Saccharomyces cerevisiae S288C: one gene and its partners. The gene in region 1 interacts genetically with each later gene. Each region holds a gene or a part of one and is shown on either strand. Other genes may lie near its edges. The genes, in order: PCK1, ADE6 and PFK1.

What was found.
Region 2: mutations in PCK1 (region 1) and ADE6 together harm fitness more than expected from each alone (negative genetic interaction), as found in Saccharomyces cerevisiae (2 studies listed by BioGRID).
Region 3: of PCK1 (region 1) and PFK1, changing one suppresses a phenotype caused by changing the other (phenotypic suppression), as found in Saccharomyces cerevisiae (one study listed by BioGRID).

The regions. Positions count from the first base shown.
Region 1 is NC_001143.9:627,443-637,191, reverse strand, and holds PCK1 (phosphoenolpyruvate carboxykinase PCK1), read right to left. Parts: upstream 6,041-9,749; coding exon 4,391-6,040; downstream 1-4,390. Other genes in the region: BAS1 (Bas1p), read right to left, coding at 1-1,341; ubiquitin-specific protease UBP11, read left to right, coding at 2,013-4,166; ESL2 (Esl2p), read right to left, coding at 6,812-9,749.
Region 2 is NC_001139.9:608,774-621,032, forward strand, and holds ADE6 (phosphoribosylformylglycinamidine synthase), read right to left. Parts: upstream 7,193-12,259; coding exon 3,116-7,192; downstream 1-3,115. Other genes in the region: septin SPR3, read left to right, coding at 1-328; ERG25 (methylsterol monooxygenase), read left to right, coding at 1,791-2,720; membrane insertase COX18, read right to left, coding at 7,555-8,505; transcription elongation factor SPT4, read right to left, coding at 8,743-9,051; VHT1 (Vht1p), read right to left, coding at 9,304-11,085; GID10 (Gid10p), read right to left, coding at 12,148-12,259. UniProt on the Saccharomyces cerevisiae protein: Phosphoribosylformylglycinamidine synthase involved in the purines biosynthetic pathway. Catalyzes the ATP-dependent conversion of formylglycinamide ribonucleotide (FGAR) and glutamine to yield formylglycinamidine ribonucleotide (FGAM) and glutamate.
Region 3 is NC_001139.9:966,690-977,929, reverse strand, and holds PFK1 (6-phosphofructokinase subunit alpha), read left to right. Parts: upstream 1-4,195; coding exon 4,196-7,159; downstream 7,160-11,240. Other genes in the region: MPC3 (mitochondrial pyruvate carrier), read right to left, coding at 154-594; YAP1802 (Yap1802p), read left to right, coding at 1,349-3,055; YGR240C-A (uncharacterized protein), read left to right, coding at 3,153-3,353; PEX21 (Pex21p), read left to right, coding at 7,877-8,743; KEL2 (Kel2p), read left to right, coding at 9,243-11,240. UniProt on the Saccharomyces cerevisiae protein: Catalyzes the phosphorylation of D-fructose 6-phosphate to fructose 1,6-bisphosphate by ATP, the first committing step of glycolysis.

The DNA of each region.
Region 1 (9,749 bases):
TATCGAAATTTTTAAAGAGTACTTCTTAGCTTGGTCAACCAATTCTTTTACTAATTTTGTGCTGTCAATAGTTCCGTTAGAAATTGACAAACCTTGACCATCTTTTAATGTAAATTTCCATTGTGTGCTAGAGGAATTTGGTTCTCTAGTTTTCACAGTAGAATAAGCATGCTTCGGAGAATCTGAAATACTATTACTATTCATCATATGCTCATCGAGAGATGCTGGATTGAATGCTGGGGGAAGGCTTGTCTGTGGGCTATCTGAGATTCCTCCAGGACTTTGCTTGTTCATTTGAGAAAGACCTTCAATTGGTAAAGATACTTTGCTCCTAATGCTACCACTGGTATGAGTCTGACCGACTTGCGTCATCCTGATTGGTGGAGGTGCAGATATCTCTTTTAAGGGAGGTAATGCTTGTGGCTTGCTGTCATTTAAAATGGGTCCATCATTATCCTTTAATCTTGGTAGTTTGCTCGATTCGTTCTCTTTAACATTCAATATATCCTGCTTTATCAATGAAGGGTTGTTCTGTTGAGATAGCTGCAACTGTTCTTCTTTATTCGGTGTAGAATCTGAGCGTATATCAGAATCGGCGATTGGATGTTGTCGGAGTTTTCCGTCTGTCATGTCTATGTTCTTGTTTTCTTTTATAGCCTTTGTTATTACTTCTGATGCTTGTCCTCGCACAACCATAGTAATAATTTTCCGCCATCTGTTCCTGCACGTTAAACTTGGTCTGAATTCCATTTCCGACGAAATCTTTCTCCATTTCGTGCCGTATGCCTTCACTTTACTTATCAGATTTAAATCTTCCTCGAGCGTCCATTCTCTTAATCTACCTTTACTTCCAGGTCCCAACACTTCAATGTACCTTTTCGCACATTGATCCTCTGTTCTTCCAGGGATATCCATGGAGATACTCAGCCAGTGAGGCCCATGTTCTTCATAAGCTTTCAAGAGCTGCTCATCCTCTTCTTGTGTCCATTTACCTTTCTTCAAGTTTGGGTCCAGAGATCCTGTCCAACGCTTTCTTACATCCTTTGAAGTTCTTACGGTGTGTTTGAATCGTGTAGCTAAAACATCCCAAGCAATACATTTAGAAAGATGGTTGGATTGTTGAATTGTTTTTACGTCTTCAAGTCCATTCTCATAGCCTAACTCCTTTGCGGATTCGTTTACTAGCGATCGTAGCATATTATCGTCGTCCTTTGACCATGAATTTCTTCCATTTTTCCTGTGTGTCTGATAGCCAAGTGATTCAGTCACTTCAAGTAAATCGAAGCCGGATCCTCTTTTTGGCTTACTTTTTCGTATATCTTTGGTACTTATATTCGACATTCTCGATAAAATGTATTCTGCGATAAAAAAAAAAGAGCAAAAACGCTACAACAAAAGTTTTAAACAAAACTAATTTTGTTTACCCCACTAGAGATCAACAATTGTTGCAGAGAACGATTCAAATCAGCAAACCGGATTATCAGAAAGCAAATAATTAAACACAAAAAACGTACACTAGTCCTTTATAGTAAACTAATAAGAAAAATTTCTTATTATATAAATATAGCTGGTTAATTTCGATTGCTTTAAAGTTTCCTGGGGCTTTATTCTGTGACTGGACCCTATTTCTTCTAAAGGTCTTAACATAATTACTCATTCTCATTTTTTATTTTTTTCTTCGTCTGGCTCATCGCATTGTTCGGACCAAAAAAAAAAAAAAAAAGAAAAAAAGAAAAAAAAAAATAGTTTCTCCGTTGCACATCGTCAAAGGTGATTTCCCCACATCTATTATAAAGTTTTTCCGGAGTGCTTAAAAAAGGGATTGACATTTCTTCGAGAATTAGTTGAGAAACCCTTTTAGATTGTGCGCTGAGTAATCATTAGGTTGATTATAAGCTCTGAAAGGTTACTGCTACTGCTAGTAGTCTTTCAGGATCTTCAGTAAACTAAATAACCGTGGCATTGATCTTACTTTCCGTTTTCTTTTCGCTAAATCGGAAGTCATAAAGACAATGTTATTAAACCCAGATCAAATTCTAAACCTAGTTCGAAAAGTATATGAAGTAGATATTAAACAGTTTTATTCGCAATTACGGCTAAAGAACTTAAGAGGATTGTTAGACCATGCTGCTCATCTGTTTAATGTTTACCTGAGGGATTTAGAAATCAATCAGGAAATGGAAGCTTTGACAGCATTTATTATTGGTTGTTATTATCTGTACCTTATTATTCCACAATCGTTACAATTCCAAACAAGAAATAATCTCTACAGCAGTTACGCAAAGCTAAAAAACGACTATCAAGACGAACACGTGATGGGTTATGTGTTAAAAGTGGTAAGAGATGAAAGTACTGTTATTGTTGACCGGTATTTAGCGGAGTCAAACGGAATTTGCAGGACCATAAAAAGAAAAAGAGCCTACTCCTTACCGCTACGGCCTTTACCTGTTCATATGGCCTCTTTGTCAATACATAACAAGTTTGATGGCTCACTACATGAAATACCGAATGAGCTAACAAAACCAACAAATGATAATTCGAAAGAGGACATAGTCAGGGAAAGTAATCAGATAGCATCAAGTAATAAATTGGAAGCTGGTTCTGAAGTGGCGTACTACACAAGCAAAGAAGCATTATCAAAACCCTCGTATTTAAAACTCAGTACTGGAAAGGATGCATTATTCAAAACGCTGTCTAGTCCAGCAACTGCTCCCCCCGTGCACTCCTTGGAGGTTTCGTCACAAATCAGAGATTCTAGCCAAGATTCTTCATCCTCTTTATCCAAGGTGGAAAAGCCAAAGGAGGAAGAAGGAAAGATCGAGGCCATAGAATCTTCGGCCCCGAAAGCTTACAATCTACCAGTAATTGAAGATTCTAATGATCTGTTATCAGAGTTATCTATTACTGGCCTGCAAAATCCATGCAATACATGCTATATTAACAGTATAATTCAATGTCTGTTTGGCACTACCTTATTTCGGGATTTGTTTTTAACCAAGAAATATAGGCTATTCCTCAATACTAACAAATATCCGAAAGAAGTCCAACTTTCCCGCTCGATTTACGTTTTGTTCAAAAAAATGTATTTGAATGGAGGAAGAGCGATTATACCAAATAGATTCTTAAAAATGTGCAAGAAGTTAAGGCCAGATTTGAACATCCCAGATGATCAACAGGATACACAGGAATTTCTACTAATAGTTTTAGCACGAATACATGAAGAGCTCTCGAACGAAAATGTTGTCAAGTATTATCCAGATCTAGTGTCATATGATGCGAATGCTTTACAAGTTAACCCATCCAAATACGAGAAATGGTACGAGAGAAATGTTATTACTGATGGTTTATCTCCAATTGATCACATATATCGAGGGCAGTTGGAGAACATTTTGAAATGTCAGCGCTGTGGTAATTCTTCTTATAGCTATTCTACCTTCTATGTTCTGTCACTTGCGATTCCAAAACTATCATTGTATAGCTTTACAAGTAAGTCGAGAAAAATTAAATTAGAGGATTGCATAAACTTATTTACAGGCGATGAAGAACTGTCAGGCGACAATGCTTGGGATTGTCCTAATTGTAGAATTACTGATTCTAAATCCAAAAAAGAAGAAATTACTAGCCAGAAGAAAAAATCAACCATATTCGGTTTTCATTCCAGATCAAGGTCAAAATCACCCCACCATCATCACCATCATCACCATAGCAGCGATGATTCAACAAAAAATGCAAAGAAGCGAAATTCTAAAAAGTTAACCACGATTAAGAGTTTAGACTTTATAGTTTTACCTCCGATACTTGTCATTCATTTATCAAGGTTCTATTATGATTTAACAAAAAAAAACAGCACTGTAATAACCTACCCTTTGATATTGAACATTATTTTAAAGAACGGTAAAGTGATTCGATACAAGTTATATGGAACGGTGAATCATTCCGGTAACCTTATCAATGGACACTATACTTCTGTTGTGAACAAAGAAAAGAGCCATGAAATTGGACTGAATAGACAAGTTTGGGTTACATTTGATGACGATTATATACAGCAACATCGCAAGGATCGCAACAACTTTGAAGCCGGCAAAACAGAAATGTCTAGCGATGAGGTATACGTCTTATTCTACGAAAGAATGGATGAAGAGAACTATGAAGAAGAATTCTGTTAATTGCATCGGATTTTTGAATTTTCCTTATGTATATACATAAATATGTTTGAAAGATTAATTAGAAAAACATGTGCTTGTTGATCCAGTTTCAGTTATTAAAAAAAAGCTGAAATGGGAAGAGAAAAAATTGACAAAATAATATATTACGAACATTTATGATGTCGAAATAATTCTAATTCTTTTTTTTTTTTTTGGATTGAACATATCGAACGAACATGTTTCGTTTACTCGAATTGAGGACCAGCGGCTAATACATCTGGTGTGGCTCTGTCTTGATAAATCTTGAAATTTTGAACAAACAAGTTGGCCAAGTTGGTAACTGCACCTCTGTATTTGGATTCACCTTGAGACCAGTTTTTAGCAGGATTCAAAAGCTCAGCTGGAACACCGTTAACCTTGGTAGGTACTTGAAGATTGAAAATCGGTAAAGTTTCGTACGTTTCATTGGCTAACGAACCATCATGAATAGAATCCAGAATGGCCCTTGTGTACTTCAATGGGCAACGTTTACCACCAGATACGTAGGAAGAACCAGTCCAGCCGGTGTTGATTAAGTACGCATTAGCTTTATGTTGAGACATCTTTGTAGCTAACATGGTTGCGTATCTAATAGGGTGCAAGGCTAGGAAGGGTTGTCCGAAACAAGATGAAAATGTTGGTTCAGGTTCAGTGACACCTTGCTCAGTACCAGCCATTTTAGAAGTGTAACCAGAGATGAAATGGTACATGACTTGTTCAGGAGTCAATTTAGATACTGGTGGTAAAACACCCGAAGCATCACAAGTTAGCAGGATAATGTTCTTTGGATGAGAGTCCGCCAAACATGGAATCTTGGCACTTGGAATGTAGTCAATTGGGTAGGCACATCTAGTATTTTCAGTAATAGAAGAGTCGTCATAGTCGACTACATGCGACTTCTCGTCATAGATAACGTTTTCTAATACAGAACCAAACTTGATAGCGTCGAAAATTTCAGGCTCCTTTTCGGCAGATAAATTAATACACTTGGCGTAACAACCACCTTCGATATTGAAGACACCATGGTCGGACCAACAATGTTCATCATCGCCGATCAACAATCTATGTGGGTCTGCGGATAAAGTGGTTTTCCCGGTACCACTTAGGCCAAAGAATAAAGTAACGTCACCGTTTTGAATACCCTGGTTGGCGGAAGAGTGCAAAGTTAAAACGTTATGGTGCACAGGCATCAAGTAAAACATAACTGTGAAAATACCTTTTTTCATTTCACCGGCGTATTCGGTACCTAAAATGATCATTTCCATTGCTTTGAAGTTAATTTCTATAGTACTCTTTGAAGACATATCCTGGGTGTGTAAATTGGCTGGGAACTGACCAGCGTTCCAGACAGTAAAATCAGGTTCTCCAAAATGGGCTAATTCTTCTTCTGTAGGTCTAATAAGCATATTTGTCATGAATAAAGCGTGGTAAGCCCTGGCACAAACAACGCGGACTTTGATTCTGTATTTTGGATCCCATCCTGCAAATGCATCGACAATATAAATGTGGTCTCTTGTTCTCAAGTAATCTGCAGCTCTTTCACGGTTGATAGACCATGTTCTTTCAGAACATGGTTTATTGACCGGACCCCACCAAATTTCGTCTTTCGAGGTAGGTTCTTCAACAATACGTTTGTCCTTTGGAGATCTTCCGGTTTTAACACCGGAATAAGCGATCAATGCACCGCTTGATGAAATGACAGTTTTATTTTCTTTTAGACCATCTTCATACAAAACGGCAGCTGGAGCATTGCGTCTGATGGTGGTGACTTCGTCACTAAGAGCCAATTCTTGTCTGATTTTTTGTTCAACTTCGGAAGTAGATCCTACTGTAGCATTCATTTTAGAAGGGGACATGTTGTTATTTTATTATGGAATAATTAGTTGCGTGAGTTTGGTTTTTTTTTTTTATTTTTGAGTTAAACAAATATAATTATTGTTTAAGCTGAAATAAAGATATATATGTATATCTGGGAAAGGCTGTTGGTTATCTGTCTTACTTCTGTATATTTAAGAAGTAAGTAGAAATACTGATTACACATGGAAGAGAAGTTACACACATTACAAAGACTTCTCTGCCCTTATATACCTTTTTTTTGTGGTCTTCTATACTCTGCCCAATGTTGCTATCCCCAGCCAAGCCTTACTTAATACACAAACGTACCATTGTCCAACCAGAAGCGTCTAAGCTTTACAATCCTGTTTGGGCCCTTTATCCGCCTATCCATAATGTTAAGCAGCCTAAAACTTGCTAGTCTAGCCGGCATCTTTCCCTTGTATAACTTAAAATACCCGGAGCTTCAGTGATATGTAGAACACAGCCGCGCCGGATGAAAGGAAGCTCGGTTTTTTCCTATTGTGAGTCAAAAAAAGAAAAGAGATGTATCCAAATTAGGAAATCCAGATCTCCATTCACCCGTCAGCGTCCCGATATTCTCCGGTGGATCGTGTGGGATATTCCGATTTTTTCCGACAAGGCCCTGGGTGGGGGCTCTGCCCAAGTGCTCTGGTCAGAATTGTATGGAAGTCAGTTGGTTATATGCATATAAAAGTATATATTAAAATTAAAGTGTTATTTATGGCGGTGAGTAGAATTGGTGTTGTTGTAAATGTACGTACAACGAACGATCAGTCTGTACACAGATGGCGCTGTTCGCCAAGTTTTGTGCACAAAGAAAACACAAATCGTGTGCTTAGCGTTTTTATTTCTTTTTCTTCTGCTTTTTTCTTCATGGCGTCGTCGTCAGATATCAGAACTACGTAGTTAAAGCGGCGAGGGGAAAGACGCGGTTCGCTGGCACTCTCTAGTTTTTCTTGCGCCTTCATTACGGATTCGATGACAAACTCGTCGACATGTGTCCTCCATGTTATTTGTTCTTCAAATTCTAAGTTCTCTTCGATGTGTGTCGCTACATTACCTGTGAATCTTAGGGGTAATACTTTATTCTCATAGTAAAGCTGCCTTATAGTTATTATACCTCTTGTGGCAGCCTCCATGACGTTTTCGTCCTTTGACTTTCGTAAAAATCTCAGCTCTTGGAATGTGGTTAAACAAATGGCAAATCTTAGCAGTCTGTTTTGAGCTAGCTTGAATATGCGTGCGGAATGTCTTAGCCAAGAAGTTGCATCAAAGACAAAGTATGTAGTTTTAAAATCTATTTCTGGATAATCAGATTTTATACATTCCAGAAATAGACCTTCATTTTCCTTTTCGCTGTTATAATTGATGTTGTCCTCTATGTTAGTGTTGTTGCTGTTCGGGACATACCATGTAGTGTAAAGCGAGGCGCTTAAAAATTCTCCATTTTTATCGAAGCACGTATAATCGGCACGAAGTTTCTTGTAGCCAACATAGTGGAAGATATTATCGCCCTCGTTGACACTTAGTTCCGGCACAGCGTGCAGATCAGTGTTGTTTTCACTTCTTGCCTCAGATATGTCAATAATACTTTCCAGGGCACCTAATACTGGTATATTGTTGTGTATATTGCACAAGGGTTCGAGTTTGAAGACTAAACTTCCCAATATATTAGTATTTTGAAATGATGAACGATATATCAACGGATCGTTTCTGATTATTACGCCTATTGGAAAACTTCTTGACAGCTCTCTAAAAAGAAATATGGTTCTGCATGCCCTTTTCCAGAATTTTTCACCATTTTCGTCCTTTTCATCAAATATAATTCCATCTGTCGGCGAATCCAATGCCATATAATCTTTTATACCGATTTCTTGAAAATTATCTTCACTACTAATCGAATGCGTATTCTTTTCGCAAATTGTGTCAAACCACAATGTTCCCCAACAGCCCAAAATTTCTGGTAATTCTTCGCCTTCATTGAATAATTCTAAAAGTTCAGAAAGGCTTAATTTATCGTAGTCATCGCATAAATCTCCAATAATAGAGTTCGATGTTTGGTTATCCAATAAATACACAATCAAAACATTCATAAAGGTAACCATTGTATCCCATGGAAAAGCTCTCTTAACAATAATCATCCAGAATTCTTTACTAACTGGATCACTCAATTGGCTGCTTTTCAAACAAATTGAGATGATAAAGTATATCCATGGTAAGATATGGGGTAATGCGATACCTAAAGGCCCATGTAGAAACTTCCGAAGCACTATTATACCGCATTTTAATGAGGTCATATTTAGAAACTTTAATGTTTCCAACCATGCTTCGTTTGTTAGCATTGAAGGCAGTATCGGACGCCTTAAGGTATCGATGTCATTGAAGAATTCTGCTAAGAGATCGTGATCAGATATGGAAGTGGTAGAACTCATTATTTCATCGTCATCTTCGTTGTCATTTCGGCTATTGCCCGTTGAACTTTCCGTCACGGAGGAGTCATTATTTGAAGATTTTTTACGTTCCTTCTTGTCTTTCCTCTCCTTCAAATACTTCGGCAATTCAAATAAAATTGCAAATGGGTTTTTTGGCTCTCCAAATCCAACAATTTGTAAAATATGCGATTGTGCAAAAGAGGGGCCATGCCTGAAGAAATACTTGAAAAAATCAGGATTCTGAACAAACATATCTTCTGCGTTAAAAATGTTACAACCGTTTGCATCTATACCGAACTTTTCAATGAAATAGCTCAACACGACATTTTGTAAATCTGGACTTTCTAAAAAACTGGGTAATAGCATGGCTTCACTATGTTTCAAATACTCAATTAATAAAGAGTTTCTAAGATTGCCATTATTTCTTTCTACAAAGGCTCTTTGATAAATGTTATCAATAACCAATTGCATATATTGCGGAGACGGAGTGAATGTTTCCTGACAAAAGACGCTTTTCCCCAAATTTACAAAAGCTTCAAGAGTGTTTTGCTGTACGGTAGACATATGATAATATAGCTTTCCATGATTGTATATGTATTTCATCGCCTCAGTATACCAATGCTCAGCACTCAGTTTCCAATCGATAAAACTCGAGGGATATAGTGCTATAGCCATTCTTGATAAGTCTCCTAGTCTTTGTAACCAAGTGATAGAATATTTGGACGGTATGTCAGAAATCATAGTTGATAATGAAACAAAGACGTGAGTGATAAATTGGCAGCAAACTTCAGGATCCATGAAGTTAGAAAAGTTCTTTAGAACGTCTAGAAATGTTATCGTGCCGTAAACCCATAGCCTTCTTTCGATCCTATATATTTCGACAATTTCTTGGCCGATGACCAAATCGTGAGGCGGTTGGGATGGTAGTAAAGCTGTAGTGATAAAAGTGACATAATTGTTAACAAGATCTGTATTGATTTTATAGATAGTCCACAAGCTTTTTAGTTCGGTGGTTTGAGAGTTTGTTAGTTGTGAGCACCGCTCCTGCAATTCAATTTCTTGCTTAACTATCACTTTGTACAATTCTTGTAATTTTTGTATTAGAGCAATGCCCGATCTCTTATTACTTGCTGGCTTGCAGGAATCATTTTCTTCCCTTTCATTACTATCATCACTATTATTGTTATTATCACGGCTGTTGCTGTTATTGTTGTTGTTGTTGTCGTCGTTGTTATTATTGTTATTGTCATTGTTATTGCTACTGTGATTGTTATTA
Region 2 (12,259 bases), on another chromosome or scaffold:
AAATTACAAGTGCTATGAAATAATTAATAAAACGGTCATGGATAAGGTGGCTACAGAATGGGATCCTGAATTTATAACTAGACAATTAGAAGCTAAGAAAAAATTCAACGAGCTGTCCAACAGAGAAATTTCAAAATTTCGAGACTGGAAAAAGAGCCTATTCATGGAACAAGAGAATTTTAACCAAGAGATTGAACAATTGAATCACAAGTTGGAAAACTTACAACTGGAATGTCAGGACTTGGAATACAAGCTGTTAATCGGAAAAAGTTCCAACAGCCATTCCACAGATAGTGCTACTTTAGTAAACGTTCACATCAAAAGGTAGTATTAATTAAAAAAAAAAAAAAGCCAATAATTTCGCGCAAGCTTTGCTCTACATAATAAAAATACAATTAGGATAGAAATGAATATTTTTTTAGCGGCAGTTTTACCATAAGTAGCAAAACCCTAACAATACAATGTGAGACTAAAGTAAATCCGGGTAATACAAAATACAATTTTTTTTTATTCTTCACAGCGTTTTTTCGACGGAGGAGGGAAAAAAAAAAATTGTATTTAAGGCATCAAATGCGCGACATCATATACCTTTGTCCGCTGTTATCATACCTTGAACCTCTACATTTCAGCCTAGCGCGCGCAAAAAGAAAAAAAAATCATAAGCAAGAGTGGTACGGTAACCACAAGGCAATGCAAAGAAGGGTGCGATATCAAGTGATGTTACCTTCCTTTACTTTTTGCCTTTTTCTTGAATTGTCAATCCGCCCTTTTTTTCTTTTCAGTTTTTTCTCCTTTCATCCGTCTCGTTTATCATAATGATGATTTCACTTATACCTATATGTTTTTTCTGGCATCTCTAATGTTAGGATGTGAAGTTTAAGTACTCTCCATTCAATGAATACAATTTTTGACAATATCTGATTTTACTATGATTAAACAGACCGAGGGAGAAAAAAAAAAGGAACTAAAAAAGGGCCTACGTAGAAGATGATGTAAAAGTAGATTCGCATCTGAGAATGTTTTCTTCAAATTTTTCTTTTCGGCCTTGGCGCAGAAGACTTTCTCTTCGTCCGCGTCGTATAGGAAACAAAAAAGTGTAAAAAGTAAAAATCGGTATATTACGCAATCCATTCGTTACCCGGTGTAGTCACGTGCGGGTGCGGAGGGCAGCCGTTTAAACCCGTTTGGGCCTTGGTCCGATAGAACCATCTCGCAGGAAAGAGCAGAGCCAGTTATCGGGTGTCGTTTACGCCCAGATGTCGTTTAGCCAGCTCCGCAACGGCCACTGCCACTACCACTGCCTCCCTTCGTATACGGGACACAGAGATCGTATACGGTAAACGACTAGCACTAGGACAATAGCAACTAACAATGACCGATAACAGTCAGCAACCTCAAGGCACCTGGCACAAAACCGTCGAGGAAGAGGCCCTTTGCCACCGTATCGCATCGCTTTCCCACCAATTTTTTTTTTCTTGCTTGCCTCGCCTCTGCTGTGGTCGTATTATTATTATTCATTCTCTGCGCAGTTTAAACTATATACACACGATTAATCCGTTATGCATGTACATTTTCTTGTATGCGTACGCCTGTGTATGCATACTTCTATATAATATATAATACAGGAGGATCTATTCTTTTTTTTCTTCTTCTCTTCTTCTCTCCCTTTTTTCTCTCTCTTCGTTTCTTTCCTTCCAGTAAATCTTTATATTAGTTGTAACTTTTTCTCTTTAGATAGTAGCATAGAGGACTAAGGAAAAGTAGTACAGCCATAAAAAAAAGAGGAAAAGATGTCTGCCGTTTTCAACAACGCTACCCTTTCAGGTCTAGTCCAAGCAAGCACCTACTCACAAACTTTGCAAAATGTCGCCCATTACCAACCTCAATTGAATTTCATGGAGAAATACTGGGCCGCATGGTACAGTTACATGAACAATGATGTTTTGGCCACCGGTCTAATGTTCTTTTTATTGCATGAATTTATGTATTTCTTTAGATGTTTGCCATGGTTCATCATCGACCAAATTCCATACTTTAGAAGATGGAAGTTACAACCAACTAAGATTCCAAGTGCTAAGGAACAACTATACTGTTTGAAATCCGTTCTTCTATCTCATTTCTTGGTCGAGGCCATCCCTATCTGGACCTTCCACCCAATGTGTGAAAAATTAGGTATTACTGTCGAAGTTCCATTCCCATCTTTGAAAACAATGGCTCTAGAAATTGGTCTATTCTTCGTCTTGGAAGATACATGGCATTACTGGGCTCACCGTCTATTCCACTACGGTGTCTTCTACAAGTACATTCACAAGCAACATCACAGATACGCTGCTCCATTCGGTCTTTCTGCTGAATATGCTCATCCTGCTGAAACTTTGTCTTTGGGTTTTGGTACCGTTGGTATGCCAATTCTTTACGTCATGTACACTGGTAAATTACACTTGTTCACTCTATGTGTATGGATCACCCTAAGATTATTCCAAGCTGTTGACTCTCATTCTGGTTATGACTTCCCATGGTCTTTGAACAAGATCATGCCATTCTGGGCTGGCGCTGAACACCACGATTTGCATCATCACTACTTTATTGGTAACTACGCTTCCTCTTTCAGATGGTGGGATTACTGTCTAGACACTGAATCTGGTCCAGAAGCTAAGGCCTCCAGAGAAGAAAGAATGAAGAAGAGAGCTGAAAACAATGCTCAAAAGAAGACTAACTAAGAGAAGAAACATACTTCAAAAAAAAAAAAAAGAAAAACAACAAAAAAACGTATAAAATGAAATAAATTTCGAACCGCTTTTTTTCCTTTTTTTTTTTTTTACTTTGTTTGACCTCCCCTAACTCTTTCTTTTTACCTTCACAATTGTTTATTTTAATATATGATTTTTAAATTAATTCAGGTTAATTCTAAAAACTATATTGCAATCTTTTAAATATATGTATACACGTTCATTACCACGTATACATATCCATATATATATATATATATATACATACTATTTATGATAAATTTTTAACAAGCAAACCCATTATTAAATGCTATAAATAAAAGACAGCTTCTTTCTAATTATTATTCAAACTTAAAAACTACATATACAAAAACTACAAAAATCTTTCAACCGACCCATCTTCTGGCAGATCTGAATAATCTAATCCATGGACCGTATCCACCCCACTCTTCGTATTTGCCCTCTGGATACCAGGAATTGGCCTCCAATCTGCAAACTCTTTCAGGATGTGGCATCATGGCAAGCACTCTACCATTTGGTGACTTGATACCGGCAATACCATTGGTCGACCCATTGGGGTTGAAGGGGAACCTTTCGGTGACGTTACCGTAGTTGTCCACATACCTTATACAACATAAACCATCCTTTTCGAACTTTTCCAGTTGTTCAGCGCTTTTAGAAAATGTTGCTTTACCTTCACCATGTGCGACAGCAATTGGCAATTTGGATCCTGCCATGCCATTCAAGAAAACAGATTCCTCGCTAGAATTGTCCTTTTCTTGAGATATTTGCACCATACATACACGGGCTTCATATTGTTCACTAACATTTCTTTCGAAACTTGGCCAGTTTTCACACCCGGGTATGATATCTTTTAATCTACTCAAGAATTGACAACCATTACAAGCACCAAAAGCAAATGTATCTTGTCTTTCATTGAAGAACTTAGAAAATTGCGAGCGCACACCTTCGTGATACAATACGGATTTAGCCCAACCCGCACCTGCACCTAAGACATCACCATAAGAGAAACCACCACATGCGGCAAGACCGATGAAGTCATCCAAATGGAACCTACCTTCTAGCAAATCTGTCATAGTGACATCCACTGAGTTGAATCCAGCTTGTTGGAAGCACCATGCCATTTCCATTTGACCGTTCACACCTTGCTCTCTTAAGATAGCAACCTTTGGCCTTTGACTGGATAATTCTAATCCGATCTTCATATCATCGGCTGGGTTGTATGTTAGGGCATACTGCAAACCGGGATCTCTATCGTCCGTGATACTGGCAAACTCTTCTTCGGCTGTTTTTGGATTGTCTCTCAATTTCTGCATTTCGTAAGATGTCTTACTCCAAGTTTGCTCCAATTCAGATCTCGAATTGGCGTAAATTACATCATTTGTTGTGGAGTTAATAATCTTGATTTCCTGGCTTTGGAAGGATGGCTTACCAACAATAGAAATATATTCTTTAGCAACTCCGTTCTCGTTCAAGATTTTTTCGAACTTGCTCAAGTTCTTAGCAGAAATCTGGAATACTGCACCTAATTCTTCATTGAATAGGTTTGTTAATTGACTTTCTAGGTCTCCACCGTCAATGTTGATTTCTAAGCCGCATCTGGAAGCAAATGCCATTTCCAGTAAAGTGATTAGTAGACCACCATCAGACCTATCATGGTAGGCAAGCACTATATCCTCCTTTTGTTGATGCAATTGGATTAAACTTTCCAAGAAACCCTTCAAAATGGCGTTATCATACACAGTAGGCGACTTGTTACCAACTTGGTTGTAAACTTGCAACAAAGCAGAGGCACCTAGTGACTTAGTCTCTTGTTTAGCTGATAGATCAACCAAGACAAGGACAGAATCATCTGTGTTTCTATTTAGCAATGGAGTCCACGTTTTACTAGTGTTGAAAACTGGTGCAAATGCTGTGATATTCAATGACAATGGTGCAGTAACTTCCTTATCATCCCATTTCATCTTCATGGACATGGAATCCTTACCAACAGGGATAGCAACACCTAATGCAGGACATAAATCCAGACCTAATGCTTGAACGGCTTCATATAACTTAGAACCCTCACCTTGATGAGAGGCTGGAGACATCCAGTTAGCAGATAGCTTGATATGATTTAAAGATTTCACATCAGCAGCGAATATGTTCAATAAAGATTCTGCCACAGATAATTTAGCGGAAGCAGATGCGGAGATTAGGGCGTTAACTGGTTTTTCACCCATAGCCATGGCTTCACCTGTGGAAATTATTGTCTCACCCAAAGAGGTACCGGTAACACCGACATCCGCAACAGGTACTTGCCAAGGACCAACAAATTGATCCCTATCAATTAGACCTGTGACGGATCTGTCACCAATAGTAATCAAAAATGACTTTGAGCCAACAGATGGTAAGTTTAGAACTCTTTGAATAGCATCTTGTAGGGAAGGAATTTCGCTCAAATTTGCCTCTGGTAGATTTAGTGCTTCAGTTATGGTTTCTCTTGACATCTTTGGAGGCTTACCAAATAAAATTGGCATTTCTAAATCAATTGGAGTTGTTTTCAAAAGAGGATCTTCTACAATCAATTTTTGTTCAGCGGTTGCGTGACCGACGACAGCAAATGGTGCTCTTTCTCTCTTACAGATTTCCTCGAAAATGGATAAGTCTTGAGGAGAAACACCAAGAACATAACGTTCTTGTGATTCATTACACCAAATTTCCATTGGTGACATACCAGGTTCTAAGGAGAGGACCTTTCTAATATCGAATTTAGCACCCAAGTCATTGTCATGAACCAATTCTGGCAAAGCGTTGGATAACCCACCAGCACCAACATCGTGAATAGATTGGATAGGATTATTGTTACCTAAGGCAACACAAGCGTCAATCACTTGTTGGCAACGACGTTCCATTTCGGGGTTCCCTCTTTGTACAGAAGCAAAATCCAAATCGGCGGAACCTTCACCGGAAGCTACAGAAGAAGCAGCACCACCACCTAAACCAATCAGCATAGATTGACCACCAAGTACAATTAAACAAGAGCCTGGAGTTATTGGGGTGTTCTTCAAAGCAAATTGAGGTCTAACAGTACCGAAACCACCCGCAATCATAATTGGCTTGTGGAACCCTCTGATTTCCTCCTTCCCTTGGTGATTCAAAACCTTTGTAGTTAAAGTTCTGAAGTAACCGTTTATACAAGGTCTACCAAACTCATTGTTAAATGCAGCTGAACCCAAAGGAGCCTCAATCATAATATCTAATGCAGATGCAATATGGTAAGGCTTACCAATATTCAACTCCCAAGGTTGTTCATTACCTGGTATCAAAAGGTCGCTGACAGAGAATCCACTCAAACCACACTTAGTCTTGGAACCTCTGCCTGTAGCACCCTCGTCTCTGATTTCACCACCAGAACCTGTAGCAGCACCTGGGAAAGGAGACACGGCTGTTGGATGGTTGTGAGTTTCGACTTTGATAAGTAATGGAATTCTTTCCTTTGTAGAGGTCCATTCCTTTGTAGTTGAATTTGGTGCAAAGAAAAAGGCATCATTTTCACTATCCAAAACGGCTGCATTATCAGAATAGGCGCTAATAGTATATTCTGGGTTTAATTTATGGGTATTTCTAATCATTTGAAACAAGGTGAATTGTTGTTTTATTCCATCAATGGTCCAATCAGCATTGAAGATCTTGTGACGACAATGTTCAGAATTAACTTGAGCGAACATAAATAACTCAACATCAGTAGGATCTCTTTTCATAGTTTCGACGAATGCATGAATCAAATATTCCATTTCTCCACTATCTAGAGCTAAACCCAATTCCGTATTAGCTTTGGATAAAATATCCTTTGGAGACTGTTTAGTGTCCTTAGGAGTTAAAGGAACGTGAACTAATGGCTTTGGCTCTTCATGTGTGAAAATACTCATCGTATTTGGTGGTTCGGTCAGATATAATTGTTGTGTCATCCTATCGTAGACACACTTCAATGAAATATCATTTAGATTTTCCAAAAGAGGGAAACCTGGAACAGTCTTTATGAGTAAGGCTAAACCTCTTTCAATACGTTGAACTTTGTCTTGTAGCCCGCATACATGAGCAATATTAGTAGCCTTGGAAGACCAAGGAGAGATAGTGCCTGATCTAGGAACAACTCTAATCAAATATGTGTCTTCGCCAAGAGCTGAACTGGGTAAATTATTAGCGACAGCATCGTTTAATTGTCTTGCTAATGGATCGTTAGCAATATCTAAAGCAGAATCGTAAGTCAACAAAACTTCTAGCAATTTAGTGTCCTGTTCAGACAAATTTTGAGCGATGCCGTTGACATAGTGAATGTAACACGAACGCAATTCATTGATGACAGAAGTACTGTTTGTATAGGAGTTTATATCTTTAATTAGATTATCGACTCTGAACTGAGATAAGGCCTTGGGACCCGGCAAAATATAATCAGTCATTGAACTTGACTTCTTTTGTTATGGACCTGGGAGGATTAAACTCTTAGGGATATCGCTAAGATAAAAGTAGAAGAGAAATATACTTCGAGGCAGGGACAGCCAATTATTTAAATACGTATGTCAAGGTTTTCAAAGAAAGAAAGAGTTAAATAGCAAGATATATTGCATTTATTACGGCATCATCTGTTTAATGAGTCCTCATTCAATTTTTTTTTTTTTTTTTCAATTTCAAGTTCGACGAGAAATTTGGAAAAACGGGTCAGCAGGAAAGAGTCAGGAACGGTTGAAGGATATTGAAAGTCATTTTTGTTTATTTACAAGCTGATGTAGAATTACATATCCTATCTATGCGTCAGCTTCACTCATCGTTGGTAAGGATAAATCCAATTTAATATGATATTTTGCACCAGGGAGAATAGCTGTGATGATATCCAATAGAGCGAAAGAAGGAATGGAGCCTGTGAGGACATTGCTAGCATAACGACACAACCGAGTCTCGATACGTTCAGTATACTAGTCATTGCCTCTTGGACTCTTGTCGAATTCCTTGAAATTGTCTTTATACCTTGCGATGACAAACTTGAGCTAAACATCAGTCGGCCATTGAGTTCCACGTTTAATACCGCCAGAGTCCCCACCAAAATGGGCGCTAGTAGAGGCATTGCTACTAGCGGTGAGCTTAGATCAAAGGAACTGAAACCCAGTGCGGAAAACCAGGAAGGATAAAAACTTTCTATAAGCTGTGTCTCTGTTAGGGTCCTGATGCCCATGGAGACTGTGACCCAAAGAGGAATTTGCACCATTGGCAGTAAGGCATTTTTCCATAGGGGTACATTGTACTTCTTGAATAATTTTTTCTGCCTCTTTCTTGTCTCTTTCACTGCCAATAGTGTAATTTGTTCTGGTGTCAAAACGCCAGCATTCTGTAGTTGTAACGGCATGAAAGAACCGTTGGAGCTAATTCTGGCGGCATTTCTAGACTTTTTATTAGTAACGGCTGCCAGTCGAAGTTTAATAATGGGCGTTATTGGCTGTACTAATTTCCTCAGTTCTTGTTGTTTCAAAATTCTCCTCCGCTGCCATATACTGAATGGCAGCGTCACGAGGGTTCTAAGGGTCATAGTAGTCAAAGGAACAAGCACTATCCATGGTATATGTGAGGCTTCATGCACTGTTAAAAACGTGTCCGCTACACTTTGAAAAAGTGAAAAGCTTCTCTTTGTACTTGGATTAGTCCTACCATATCGCAGACCGACTGAGCTGCACGAGAATGACGCAAAACCATTTTGACGATTGGCTAACCTCTTTAACATAATGCCATACTTTATCTTGAAATTTTCCTATCCTTGGACCTTTTTTTTCTAATGAAAGTCTTTTTAGCCTTAGTTGAATTACTGGACGGTAGAAAAATTGGGTTTGCCAGCAAAAACAAAAGTGCAGAACGTTAAATAAATGAAAGCATAAACTCATATGCTAGAATATTTACTAAAAAAAAAAAAAAGTAAAAAAAATTCATTACTATTATACATGTGATATCAGAACGGAAGGTTTTACTCAACTTGACTGCCATCCCTCGGTTTGTAGTGAGGCAACAGCTCCACAACCTCAGCTGGTAGTCTACCATCGACCTTGATGGCGTACATACCAGCTATACTATGATCTACGCTCAGCCACTTTGCTACCCACGACTTAGTAGGCTTACACATTCCTACGAGGCCCTCGAAAGAAGGCGACGTACATTCCATTGTAGAAACACCTGCCTCTTCAAAAATACCCTGACAGTTGGGACAACCATCTCTATTAAACTCATTTGTGGTCTGCACTATGCCACACAGCATACAGGCTCTTTCACTAGACATCTCTTACACTGTACCTCGTTCGCTTTTGCCAAACTGAATGTGGCCAGGTGTAATTATTACACAGTACATCCTTCGAGCCCTTTCTTAAATTTCACTTTTTCACTCGATTTCACTCATAGAACGTATAAGGTGACCTTTATCAACATCGAGATTAATTATAGATAGAAGATGATTAAATTATATACATGAATATATTTATTTGAGGTATGGTGTCTAAAGCGTAATATACCTATCTACTTCACGTAAATTGGACTACGAGGACCGCTTTAAATAGTAGTAACCATCTCTTTCCTCCATATTTTTCTTTACAAATTCTGGAAGCTCTTCACCCTTATTACTATCATACAAGATGATACCATTACCTAGAGCATGTTTCTTTTCGTTTCTCTTGTAAAAAAAAAGTACAACAAACGTCCATAAACCGTAAATAGCACCAAAAATTAAGCTCACGGTGTAACCAGTCTTAAAACGTGGTGACTCCACGGTAGGCCACGCCAAGGTAGGAATCCAGGCGTAAGTGGATTGAGAGAAGGAATAAATGGCGATCCATGTAATAGCCTTCACCTGAGGATCAAACCTTAAGAAGTCATTAATAAACGACCATAGACAAGGCGATGCGGCCACACTGAAATACGTGGTGAAGAAAGCGTACCATTTAGCTTTCGAAGGAATATCCCACTTGATAAGTAAGGCACAAGAAACGGTATTCATTATAGCAGCAAAAACCATGAATATCCACTTACATCTAAATAAATCGGCACCAAAGGCACAAAAAATCACATACGCAAATCCTAAACATGCGGGTATAACACTCAGGTTGTTCACTTGGGCAATGGAGTACTTTGTATTAGACTTTAACCACAAAGTATATGAACCACTATACGCAGTCATGTTATTCCACGAACATGTATCAAAAACAACAAGTACCCAGAATGCTGGAGTACAAAATACTTTCTTCCAAAGTTTTCTGCTCCATAATGGGGCTAGCTTACTTTTATCAACACCATCTTTGATTTGGTTCCTCTTATTTCTGGCCCTTGCAATTCGTATTTCTTCGTCAGTCAGAAATAAAGAGTAACACTTAGATGGTACACCGGGAATAACAAAAAAACCAATAATAGCCGTGGGAAGAGAAATTGCAATGGCATCGATCAGAAACATCCATCTCCAGCCTGCTAGACCATGGACGCCGTTCAAACTTTTGAATATGCGACTTTGCAGAAGTCCTGAAGTCACGGAACCCAATTGTTGCCCACAAAAGAATAAACAGACTCTTGAATTAATTTCATCTGGGGCATACCAACAACCTAGTATATATTGGGACACTGGGTAGTAAGCAGCGCCAAAGGCACTTAAAATAAATCTGTAAGCCCTTAGTTCGGCTAGTGAGTTTGCCCTATAACATGCAAATGTGAACCAAGTCCAGCCCAAGTCCATTACAGGCAAAATAATATGAGAGGGAAATCTTGGTAACAAATACATAAATGGTAATTGGAAGACAATGGCACCAACATTAGCAATAGTAGAAGTGTAAACGTAATCATTACCTTTCATGTTTAAATCTTCCTTCATATTGGAAACATATGCGTTAGTGTAGTTATTCAAATCCACTGACTTGGACCAACATAACATAAAAAAGTATAAAGCAATAATAATGTCTAGCTTGTAAAGAAGCCGTCTTTCAGCCTTGGTTTGAGTAGTATGATTAGGATACAAAAACTCGTACCACTTACGTGATTTCTTGTATTCCTTATTAACACGATACTCGAATTCATCAAAATATTTCCACCATTTACGCCCAGCTTCATCTCTCACTTCATATGGCAAGTCATGCCTTAAATTGTGAGGATGAGGTTCTACAGCTGTAGTTTCTGCCGTAACGTCTGTCTTCGAGGACTTATCTACGCTATGATGTAGCTCCTCTTCAGCTATGATACTGGAGTTAGTATCGTCTGAGTATAAGTACTGATCATCTTCGGGTAGTTTTCTCAAATGTGGGAAGTAGCTCCTCCACGATTTATTCGAAATTGTCATTATCTATTGATTTGTGTCGGTCCTTTTTTGAAAATTGAAACAAATGAAAAGGCGATTGCTCGTGGGTGTAGAGCCTTTATATATAGTTATGTTATAGCCGTAAGAGTCATGCAGATTTTTGGGAATGGCTATCATCAAACTTAGCCTTGCATCTCATATTTCGACTTTTTTTTTCATTTCACACATTTTTTTTTCCTTTCACAGTTGGGTGAAAGAGTCTCGGAGGCGGTACGGCGCTTTCTGTGTAAATCATCCTAAAGTGATTCATAATCTCAGAGCCATTTCGGGTGAACTAATGATGATTTTCTAGTAGACTACGGCAGTATCTTAGCTGACGCAATTGTAGCAATGGAGGCAATCATGTTAGTAAAGGACATTTTAGTTGTAGGAGCATAGGATCGACAGGCCATGTGAAAGGCGTACTAGCAAAGATTGAAGTAATGAGAATAATTGACGATGATTTTAATTTGAGCTTTTCAATGCAGCCGAATTCAGCAGTAGTTGCAGAACCGGACTAACACTTGAAAAAATCCCACGAGCCAGCTGCCGTCTAAGGATATTGTAATAAAGTTGGGCTTAAACTAAAGTTTTTATATCTTGGTTGTAAGGTTGTAATCATTCGTCTCAAGAAGAACGTTGAGTAATCATTAGTCCTCCGCATAAGTAGGTTGCCAATAACTTGTTCAGCAATGATGGTTGCAGCATATCCTCGCTAACGTTTTACTTACCAAATATTTTTTGCTGGTGATTAAGAAAGCTTCTACCATAAGAACACTATGTCAATTTAAAGCAATAATGTTTTCCTGAGTGTTCTTGAGCCTCTGTAAACGAATCATCAATTCAAGTATTTTTATTTTATTGCAAGGATATCGCCAACTAATTATTAACCGGCACTAATGATAGAAATGTTTTTATTTCGAACTACAAAAAGGGCATACATGACGTGGATATATGTAAAGGGTTACTAGTTTACTTATTGATGTAATATCAAGAACAATGTGCTTTTAAAAGAGACATGGTTGACGAGTAAACAAACATACATTGGTAATTCTATAAGGGTCTTTAGGCAATTTCAAATCCACTTGAGTAGGTGTTCAATGCGTCGCAGTTGGTTGGAACGAGTTCGAGTTTTTGAAACAATTCACAAGCGGGATGATAGTAGTAGCCTTCCACT
Region 3 (11,240 bases), on another chromosome or scaffold:
TTTTGGAAAAAATTTCTTTTTTTTTTTTTTAATTTTTTTATATTTTTCCATCTTTTGATGTAATATAGAGGTTATATAATGAAAGAATATATAAGAGGTCATAAAAAATCATTAAAAAAATGCGAGTTCAGGAACATATTATCGTTTACGTAATCAGTGCGTTATTGGCGGATTAGTACCGATCACACCTTTGTTCATCGATGTGGATGCAGTTTGCTTTGCTGCGACGGCTGCAGGAGTCTCCCCTTTTATTATGTAGTGAATAACCTGTTTAAAAGAATCACCGTTCCGTATCCTAAAGTTAGCAATTCTTGTTAGATGGTAGCCTGCAGTGCAACCCAGGAAAAAATTGACGGAAGCTAACAGATAGTTCTTGGGCTTGATGACAAACGACCAACGCGTCCAAATCAGTGCCGTCGCTAATAAAGATAAATTTTGTGCTCCTGATACCTTCTCAACAGGCCTCTTAATATCATTTAGCCCTGCGAAGACCAGCCCCCACTTCAAAGTTGGGGCCCAGAAGTGTACTGTTTTAGGGCCTGTTTCACTATTCCAAAATCTTCTAAAGGCAAAATTAAAAGCTGATGCTGACATTAAAAATATAGGTTTGTGTTTCTATGTGTCTTGAATGCTTATGCGTATAGTCTTAAAGACTGATTGTATTCTTTTTTTTTATATGAAGTATTTCCGCCGTAATGAAAGGGAAAAGAAAATTTTCTCCAATACTCCAATTGCAACGCACCATATTATCCGGGAGAATACACGCACGCAGCCGCATATATATATATGATGGCCTTAGTTTTGTTTGAGCCTTTCGGTTTTGCGTGACCAAACCAGGGAGCGGCTCGCTTGACCCGCCCACGGAATGACGTAAAGCCGTTAATAGCCGATTGGCGGGAGAAATAAAAGCGGGGCACTCCCAAGATGAGGGGTAATCGGGGTAATAATATCCAATCAAGGAGGAAAAGGGCCAAATGTTACCCGACTATCCAAACTGCAGGGTAACCTTTATTTTTTCTTTTCTTTTACTCCTACCATTTTTTTTTTCAGATTTTTCCCAGTATGGCTTTGTTTTCATTTTGCTTTGGTGGAGGGATAGATTAAGTTTGCAGCTGCGTAGAAAAGTTTCTTTTCTACATTCGAGGAAAAAGTCGACTTATTAGTCTGGTTAACTTGTTATTAGGGCTTCTTGCTTGAGTTATAATTTTAGAAGGAGAAAAAATAAATCTGTAGCAGGAGTACCAATTTGCTACGCTTGCTAACATCTACGAGAGTAACAATATCAAGCATACAAGCGCGACTGTCTCGGCTACCCCTATAATAGATATAGAGGCGTGTTTGTGAAACAATGTCTTCATTATATACTAAGTTGGTTAAAGGGGCGACCAAAATAAAGATGGCCCCTCCAAAGCAAAAATATGTGGACCCTATTCTCTCGGGCACTTCGAGCGCAAGAGGATTGCAAGAGATTACCCACGCATTGGATATAAGGTTGTCTGATACAGCCTGGACCATTGTTTATAAGGCATTGATTGTGTTGCATCTGATGATACAACAAGGCGAAAAAGATGTCACGCTAAGGCACTATTCCCATAATTTGGATGTTTTCCAATTGAGAAAGATTTCGCATACTACTAAGTGGTCTTCCAATGATATGAGGGCTTTGCAGAGATACGACGAATACCTAAAAACACGTTGTGAAGAGTATGGCAGGCTAGGTATGGATCACCTACGAGACAATTACTCCTCGCTAAAGCTGGGCAGTAAGAACCAGCTTTCAATGGATGAAGAGCTAGATCATGTTGAATCATTGGAAATTCAAATTAATGCCTTGATAAGGAATAAATACTCTGTTTCAGATTTAGAAAACCATTTGTTATTGTATGCATTCCAATTGTTAGTACAAGATTTACTAGGTCTGTACAATGCTCTTAATGAAGGTGTCATTACACTTTTAGAATCATTCTTCGAATTGTCCATTGAGCACGCAAAAAGAACACTGGATCTCTATAAGGATTTCGTGGATATGACAGAATATGTTGTTAGATACCTAAAAATAGGAAAAGCTGTCGGTTTGAAAATCCCCGTTATCAAACATATTACTACAAAGTTAATTAACTCCCTTGAGGAGCATTTGAGAGAGGAAACAAAAAGACAAAGAGGTGAACCTTCTGAACCGCAGCAAGATAGAAAACCATCTACGGCCATTAGCTCTACCAGTAGTCACAATAACAACAGCAATGACAAGAATAAGTCTATAGCGCAGAAGAAACTGGAACAGATAAGGGAACAAAAAAGACTGCTGGAGCAACAATTACAAAACCAACAGTTGCTCATTTCCCCCACGGTCCCACAAGATGCTTACAACCCATTTGGATCACAACAGCAAGATTTAAATAATGACACCTTTTCATTCGAACCAACCCAGCCACAAATGACCGCTCAAGTCCCTCAACCAACTGCTAACCCCTTCTTGATACCGCAACAACAGCAACAGGCTTTACAGTTGACATCTGCGTCTACAATGCCACAACCAAGTGAGATACAGATTACTCCAAATTTGAATAATCAACAAACTGGGATGTATGCTTCTAACCTTCAATACACCCCAAATTTCACCGGCTCAGGGTTCGGCGGATACACGACCACCGAGAACAATGCAATTATGACCGGCACTTTAGATCCAACAAAAACGGGGTCTAACAACCCATTTTCGCTAGAAAATATTGCCAGAGAACAGCAACAACAAAATTTCCAAAACTCCCCAAATCCTTTTACCCTCCAACAAGCACAAACCACCCCGATTCTTGCTCATAGTCAAACAGGTAATCCATTTCAGGCTCAAAACGTGGTGACATCACCAATGGGCACATACATGACGAATCCCGTGGCCGGTCAACTTCAGTATGCCTCTACTGGTGCGCAGCAGCAACCACAAATGATGCAGGGTCAGCAAACAGGGTATGTTATGGTTCCCACTGCGTTTGTCCCCATCAATCAACAACAGCAACAACAGCAGCATCAGCAAGAAAATCCTAACTTAATAGATATATAGTGAGCGATAGATACTACAGTTTTTTGTTCTCAACAGGCCGTCCTTGCATATTATAAACTCTGATTTTTAGGTAATCCCTTCCACCTTTCTATATTTTATGATACTATCCAAACATGTAAATTTTACGTACCATACATATAACCTCATCTATAATTTTTACCCTGATCTAACTAACTTTGGCATGCCTGGTTCAATCTACGGGTTACAGTCATCGTTGAAAACGATGGAAAAACATGTCGAGATTCCTCAATCCATACACCATTATAGTCCGTTTTATCAGCTTCCACTAATTTTTTAAATCTCAGTTTCTTCTTGAAATTTAGCATCGTGCATGGGATAGCGGCTAGTAAAAAAGAAAATTAATATCTCATTAACAAAGTTATTGTACATAATCCGGTACAATATTCTTCAATGTACTCTCTAATATCGAGCACACTGGCAATATTCATGCACACATTCGCCTAATGCTGACGAATGCTTAATCAGTGCAATTACTGCCACCCTCTTGATATGTGGGCTAAATCCTTTAGGACCTGTAAAAAATGCAATCACGTTTTCACATTTTTTTTTTTCTTGCGGAATTGCGGAATTTCCCAGTTGGCAGCGTTATCCGATTTGAGATCGACTTGCATCAACCTTTGAAAAATATAAGGATGAGAAAGTGAAATCGGTTTTTTTTTTCCATTGTCGTCATCAACATGATTTTTTAAATAAATAAATACGATTTTTTATTTTTTTTCCCTTCTTTGTTTTTGTTTTGCTTATTCCCATCTTCATTATTAAATTCTTCCGCTCTTAATAAAGGAGTTTTTTTATTATCTTCTTGTGTAATCATCCTTTTTCTTTAATTTTCTTCCTTTTCTTTTTCTCTTTACTGGTTTTTTTACTTCTTTATTCTCAACCATCTAAAGAATATTATTGCTTTCTACCAATAAAATCTGTTAATTCTATTTGGATTGTCGTCTACTCAAGTCTCGCCTAGTAAATAAACGATAAACAAATTTGAAGTAAGAATAACAATATAGGGAGAGAAATTTTTCTATTTTTAATTTCGAAACAGGTACCAAAAAATCTAAGTTCACTTTAGCACTATTTGGGAAAGCTTTTATATAAAAAATCTGAAACAAAATCATATCAAAGATGCAATCTCAAGATTCATGCTACGGTGTTGCATTCAGATCTATCATCACAAATGATGAAGCTTTATTCAAGAAGACCATTCACTTTTATCACACTCTAGGATTTGCAACTGTGAAAGATTTCAACAAATTCAAACATGGTGAAAATAGCTTACTATCTTCAGGGACTTCCCAAGATTCCTTGAGAGAAGTTTGGTTAGAATCTTTCAAGTTGAGTGAGGTTGATGCTTCTGGGTTCCGTATACCACAACAAGAAGCTACTAACAAGGCTCAAAGTCAAGGTGCTCTATTAAAGATTCGTTTAGTGATGTCTGCTCCAATCGATGAAACTTTCGACACCAACGAAACCGCCACAATCACTTATTTCTCTACTGATTTGAACAAGATTGTCGAGAAATTCCCAAAACAAGCCGAAAAATTGTCCGATACCTTAGTGTTTTTGAAAGATCCAATGGGCAACAACATCACCTTCTCAGGCTTAGCTAATGCAACCGATTCCGCTCCAACTTCCAAAGATGCTTTCTTAGAAGCTACCTCCGAAGACGAAATCATCTCTAGAGCTTCTTCCGATGCTTCTGACTTACTAAGACAAACATTGGGCTCTTCTCAAAAGAAGAAGAAGATTGCTGTCATGACTTCTGGTGGTGATTCTCCAGGTATGAATGCCGCTGTTCGTGCCGTTGTTCGTACAGGTATACATTTCGGCTGTGATGTTTTTGCTGTTTACGAAGGTTACGAAGGTTTACTAAGAGGCGGTAAATATTTAAAGAAAATGGCTTGGGAAGATGTCAGAGGTTGGTTAAGTGAAGGTGGTACTTTGATTGGTACTGCTCGTTCTATGGAATTCAGAAAGCGTGAGGGTCGTAGACAAGCTGCAGGCAATTTAATTTCGCAAGGTATTGACGCTTTGGTTGTTTGTGGTGGTGATGGTTCTTTAACCGGTGCTGATCTTTTCAGACACGAATGGCCATCTTTGGTTGATGAATTGGTTGCAGAAGGTAGATTCACTAAAGAAGAAGTCGCCCCATACAAGAATTTGTCCATTGTTGGTCTTGTCGGTTCCATCGATAATGATATGTCTGGTACTGACTCTACCATTGGTGCTTATTCTGCTTTGGAAAGAATCTGTGAAATGGTTGACTACATTGATGCCACCGCTAAATCCCACTCCCGTGCCTTTGTTGTTGAAGTTATGGGTAGACATTGTGGTTGGTTGGCCTTGATGGCTGGTATTGCTACCGGTGCCGATTACATTTTTATTCCAGAAAGAGCTGTTCCTCACGGAAAATGGCAGGACGAATTGAAGGAAGTGTGCCAAAGACACAGAAGTAAGGGTAGAAGAAATAACACAATTATTGTCGCTGAAGGTGCTTTAGATGATCAATTAAACCCTGTTACTGCCAATGACGTCAAAGATGCTTTGATTGAATTGGGTCTAGACACCAAGGTAACCATTCTAGGTCACGTTCAAAGAGGTGGTACAGCTGTTGCTCATGACAGATGGTTAGCTACTCTACAAGGTGTCGATGCTGTTAAGGCCGTTCTGGAATTTACCCCTGAAACTCCTTCTCCATTAATTGGTATTTTAGAAAACAAGATAATTAGAATGCCATTGGTTGAATCTGTGAAGTTGACTAAATCTGTTGCCACTGCCATTGAAAACAAAGATTTCGATAAGGCAATTTCTTTAAGAGACACAGAATTTATTGAACTTTACGAAAACTTCTTATCCACTACCGTTAAAGATGATGGTTCCGAATTATTGCCAGTATCTGACAGACTAAACATTGGTATTGTCCATGTTGGTGCCCCATCTGCTGCTTTGAACGCTGCCACCCGTGCCGCAACTCTATACTGTTTGTCTCACGGCCATAAACCATACGCTATCATGAATGGTTTCAGTGGATTGATTCAAACCGGTGAAGTGAAGGAACTATCATGGATTGATGTCGAAAACTGGCATAACTTGGGTGGTTCCGAAATCGGTACGAACAGATCTGTTGCTTCAGAAGATTTGGGTACCATTGCTTACTACTTCCAAAAGAACAAGCTAGACGGTTTGATTATTCTTGGTGGTTTTGAAGGTTTCAGGTCCTTGAAGCAATTGCGTGACGGTAGAACCCAACACCCAATCTTTAACATTCCAATGTGTTTGATTCCAGCCACTGTTTCTAACAACGTTCCAGGTACTGAATACTCACTTGGTGTTGATACCTGTTTGAACGCATTAGTCAATTACACTGATGACATCAAACAGAGTGCTTCTGCGACAAGAAGAAGAGTCTTCGTCTGTGAAGTCCAAGGTGGTCACTCTGGTTACATCGCTTCTTTCACTGGTTTAATCACTGGTGCTGTTTCAGTGTACACTCCAGAAAAGAAGATCGACTTAGCTTCTATCAGAGAAGATATAACTCTATTAAAAGAGAACTTTCGTCACGACAAAGGTGAAAACAGAAACGGTAAGCTATTGGTTAGAAACGAACAAGCTTCTAGCGTATATAGCACTCAATTGTTGGCTGACATCATCTCTGAAGCAAGCAAGGGTAAGTTTGGTGTTAGAACTGCTATCCCAGGCCATGTTCAACAAGGTGGTGTTCCATCTTCTAAAGACCGTGTCACCGCTTCCAGATTTGCTGTCAAATGTATCAAGTTTATCGAACAATGGAACAAGAAAAATGAAGCTTCTCCAAACACTGACGCTAAGGTTTTGAGATTCAAGTTCGATACTCACGGTGAAAAGGTACCAACTGTTGAGCACGAAGATGACTCTGCTGCTGTTATCTGTGTTAATGGTTCTCACGTTTCCTTCAAGCCAATTGCTAACCTTTGGGAAAACGAAACCAACGTTGAATTAAGAAAGGGTTTTGAAGTTCACTGGGCTGAATACAACAAGATTGGTGACATCCTGTCCGGTAGATTAAAGTTGAGAGCTGAGGTAGCCGCTTTAGCCGCTGAAAACAAATGAATGATTGCAATGAAAAGTTTAAGTTAAGCAAAAGGAGGTAAAAATGGCATGCACTTTAATTTTTATACAATCGTTTTTTTGTCATAAGACTTATTTATGTATCTGTTGTTTTTCTTTTTCTATCCTCTATTTTTGTCTATTTGTCTTTGTTTTACTCTTTTTCATTATTATTTCTTTATATAATTTTTGTACGATATGATACACATAACAATGAGCAATGAACATATTTCTAATCCTAACCATTAGATATACTTTTCAACTGAGGAATAATGGCGCCTTGATTAAACTAAGCTATGGAATTTGCATTATTCAAGTTTTAGGGTGTGCTTAATCTGCGTTGACAATGGTTCACGAAGACGACATCGGCAACTTTGCTGTACTACAAATTGCTCTGAATGTGAGGCTGATCCACATCATAGTGAGGCGCGCTACCTTAATTGTAGTCGTATTGTCATCGGTCTACGAATACCGTTTGGTTTATTTGTCGGCCTTTTTTCTTTCCGTTTCTTTTTATCTTTCCGCTGGAAAAATGGAAACTAGTGCCGATAATCGGAGATGGGATGACTAAATATTTCTTTAAGGCATTGGCAATGTTCAAACCTCTGATAGAACGGCAGATATATATTTAAGAGAATATAGTCAAGGTTGACGCCGCATACTTTGGTTTTGTTTCAAAAAGAAACAGGTGAAAAATTATAAAGACCAAACTAGAATACCATGCCCAGTGTCTGCCATACAAGCCCGATAGAAAAGATTATCCAACAAGGGCATCGCATACAGAATGATTCCTTAATACCGTCAAAACGCACCAAGCTGGCCCATACGGAATTAACAGCACACTATGCCACTGAAGACTCGCATGTGGAAAAACACTTTTTGCATAATGGTAGTAATTTTGACGGCATTGACAATGTAAGGTATCAAAATCAACCCTCTCCATTAACCTTCATTACTCCAAACAACACTGTAGATTCCAGTGATTGGGTTCCGCAGTTCTCGTCTATGAAGATTGACGATTCACTAGAGTTTAGCTCAGAATATAAAAGGTTGTATTCCAATTACGAGTCACAGCAGCGCCTGAATTCAAGCAGACAACACTTACCTTTTAAGAATTGTATGATAAGGAAGACAAGTTGCACTTACCCACCTCAAAAGACGCTTCGACAGCAACGCCAAGGAAACCGGGACAACCCAACGGATGCGTTTCAATTCGACGCGGAGTTCCAAGTTTTGGAGAGAGAAATTCAAAAAGAGCGGTACGAGCCCATAACACGTCGGGACGAGAAATGGTTCGACCAAGATCAGTCGGAACTGCAAAGGATTGCCACAGATATAGTAAAATGCTGTACTCCACCGCCTTCGTCTGCATCCTCCTCTTCTACTCTTTCCTCCTCTGTCGAATCAAAACTATCTGAGTCGAAGTTTATTCAGTTAATGAGAAACATTAGTAGCGGTGACGTGACTTTAAAGAAAAATGCAGATGGAAATTCCGCAAGCGAGTTATTCTCATCCAACAACGGGGAACTGGTCGGAAACAGGCACATTTTCGTCAAGGACGAAATTCACAAAGACATACTTGATTGATATAGGCAGTTTCTACAATTGTACCTCTTGTAACTACTACATACGTTGATATATGTTTACAGATAGCTAAGAATATCAAAATCATGAATATGTGCCCTTATGTGTTCTCTGCGCTGAGGAGTATCGCAGCTTCACTCCTGCAGATGCATGCCCTACCTACTGTCATGCCCATCTCTCTCGTTTAAAACTTACTACACCTTTTTTGTGCATGGATTGTGCTGATGTAAGCTGCACGAAATGACACGCTTGTGAATTTTTTCTTCTCTTGGGAGAAACTGTGAAGAAAAAAAAAAAAGCTTCGCAAAACCCGAATTAGTCTCGAAGGAAGTAATTACCTTGTGAAAGGGTCTTTTGGGATACTAATTTATTATGAAGTTTGGTTTTGGTGTTGCTTGCTCTTTTTTTTTTCAATTTTGAAATGCGTACACGTGAATTTTAGCATAGGTTGTAACAAAAAAAAAAAATGATTTGGATGAGGCAGGCAACCCCTTAAGTAGCTATGGTACCTTTCAAGCTGACAAATAAGGTACCTACGGACACGGGACCTTCTCTGATTTCAGCGCAAAGTGTACCCAGACCAATAGTTTTTATGGATAATCGAAACAATACGCGAATAGTAACACCTACGCTACCTCCAAACCAGCATAGAGGCATATCAGGCGCGTCGACTGCTCTTCCCTGGTCTCCAGAGAGTAAGAATACAGGGAAGTATATTTGGAATAGGGTCAAACTAAAAAACTCTCCGTTTCCCCGTTATCGACACTCTTCCTCATTTATTGTTACGAATGATAACAGGATTTTTGTGACCGGTGGACTTCACGATCAATCGGTATATGGGGATGTCTGGCAAATAGCCGCTAACGCGGATGGTACGAGCTTTACTTCCAAGAGAATCGATATTGATCAAAATACACCTCCCCCAAGAGTGGGACATGCCTCTACTATATGCGGTAATGCCTATGTTGTGTTTGGTGGCGACACACACAAGCTGAATAAGAACGGACTGTTGGATGATGATCTTTATCTTTTCAATATTAATTCTTATAAGTGGACCATACCACAACCTATCGGCCGTAGGCCGTTGGGCAGGTACGGCCATAAAATTTCTATAATTGCTAGCAACCCTATGCAAACTAAACTATATCTTTTTGGCGGACAAGTAGATGAAACTTATTTTAACGATCTGGTCGTCTTTGATTTATCATCATTCCGTAGGCCGAATTCTCATTGGGAATTTTTAGAGCCTGTCGGCGACCTGCCTCCTCCTTTAACAAATCATACAATGGTGGCATATGACAACAAATTATGGGTATTCGGCGGGGAAACTCCCAAGACAATAAGCAATGATACATACCGCTACGATCCAGCACAAAGTGAGTGGTCTAAAGTTAAAACCACAGGAGAAAAGCCTCCGCCAATACAAGAGCATGCTAGTGTGGTGTATAAACATTTAATGTGTGTGTTAGGCGGTAAGGATACCCATAACGCATATTCCAACGATGTCTATTTTTTAAACTTATTATCGCTAAAATGGTATAAGCTTCCCCGTATGAAGGAGGGCATACCTCAAGAACGCTCTGGACATTCTTTAACCTTAATGAAGAATGAGAAGCTTCTTATCATGGGTGGCGACAAAACTGACTATGCCAGCCCAAATATTCACGATCTACAAACTTCAGAAACTGACCAAGGCGAAGGAACTTTACTGTATACCTTAGATTTATCATCTTTGAATGAGCTATGCCCAGGAATAATGTGTGAATCACTACATGCAGGAGAAAGTTTTTCTAATAGTCTTTCCGGGGGCTTTACACCCTCTAAGTCTACCGAAAGTGAAAATCAAGAGATAATAAACATTCTTACACCAAGATTGCCTGATAGCAAAGTTTTGAGTTATAATGATATTGATGAAGGGGCTGGAAGTTACTCCAGCGCTTTGGATGATAAGGCATTTGAACGAAAATCAGATAGGGAGGAAAAGAAACCCCAATCTTCCAAAGTTGATTCAAGCATCAATAAGGAAAGTCCGGGAACTGGTATCAAAGTATCTAAAAAAAATTTCCCTGTTCTACGAGGACTAACAGTGGATTCAGAAGAGTATGGCTCTTCTTCATATAAGGACACATCATGTCAAAAAGGAATTCCCAAAAATCTTTTTGATGATTTAAACCTGAACCTACAAACATTACGTCTCGAAGCTCAACAAAAGGAACTTGAAACTGCTAGACATATTTCACAATTAGAAAAGGAAGTCCAGAGACTCATGGTAATAAAAGAAGCTTCAAAAGATTCAAATTTTCAAACAGCACGGCTTAAAAATCTAGAAATTCAGAAAACCTTTTTAGAATCTAGAATTAATGATTTAAAAAATTTATTGATGGTCAAATTATCTCAGGCAAGTAAACTCTGTGACCAAATTACGATTCAAAATAATGGACTTAAAACATGCTCCGAACATGTCACTATTAAAAGGGATATCATCGATCTTGAGAATAAA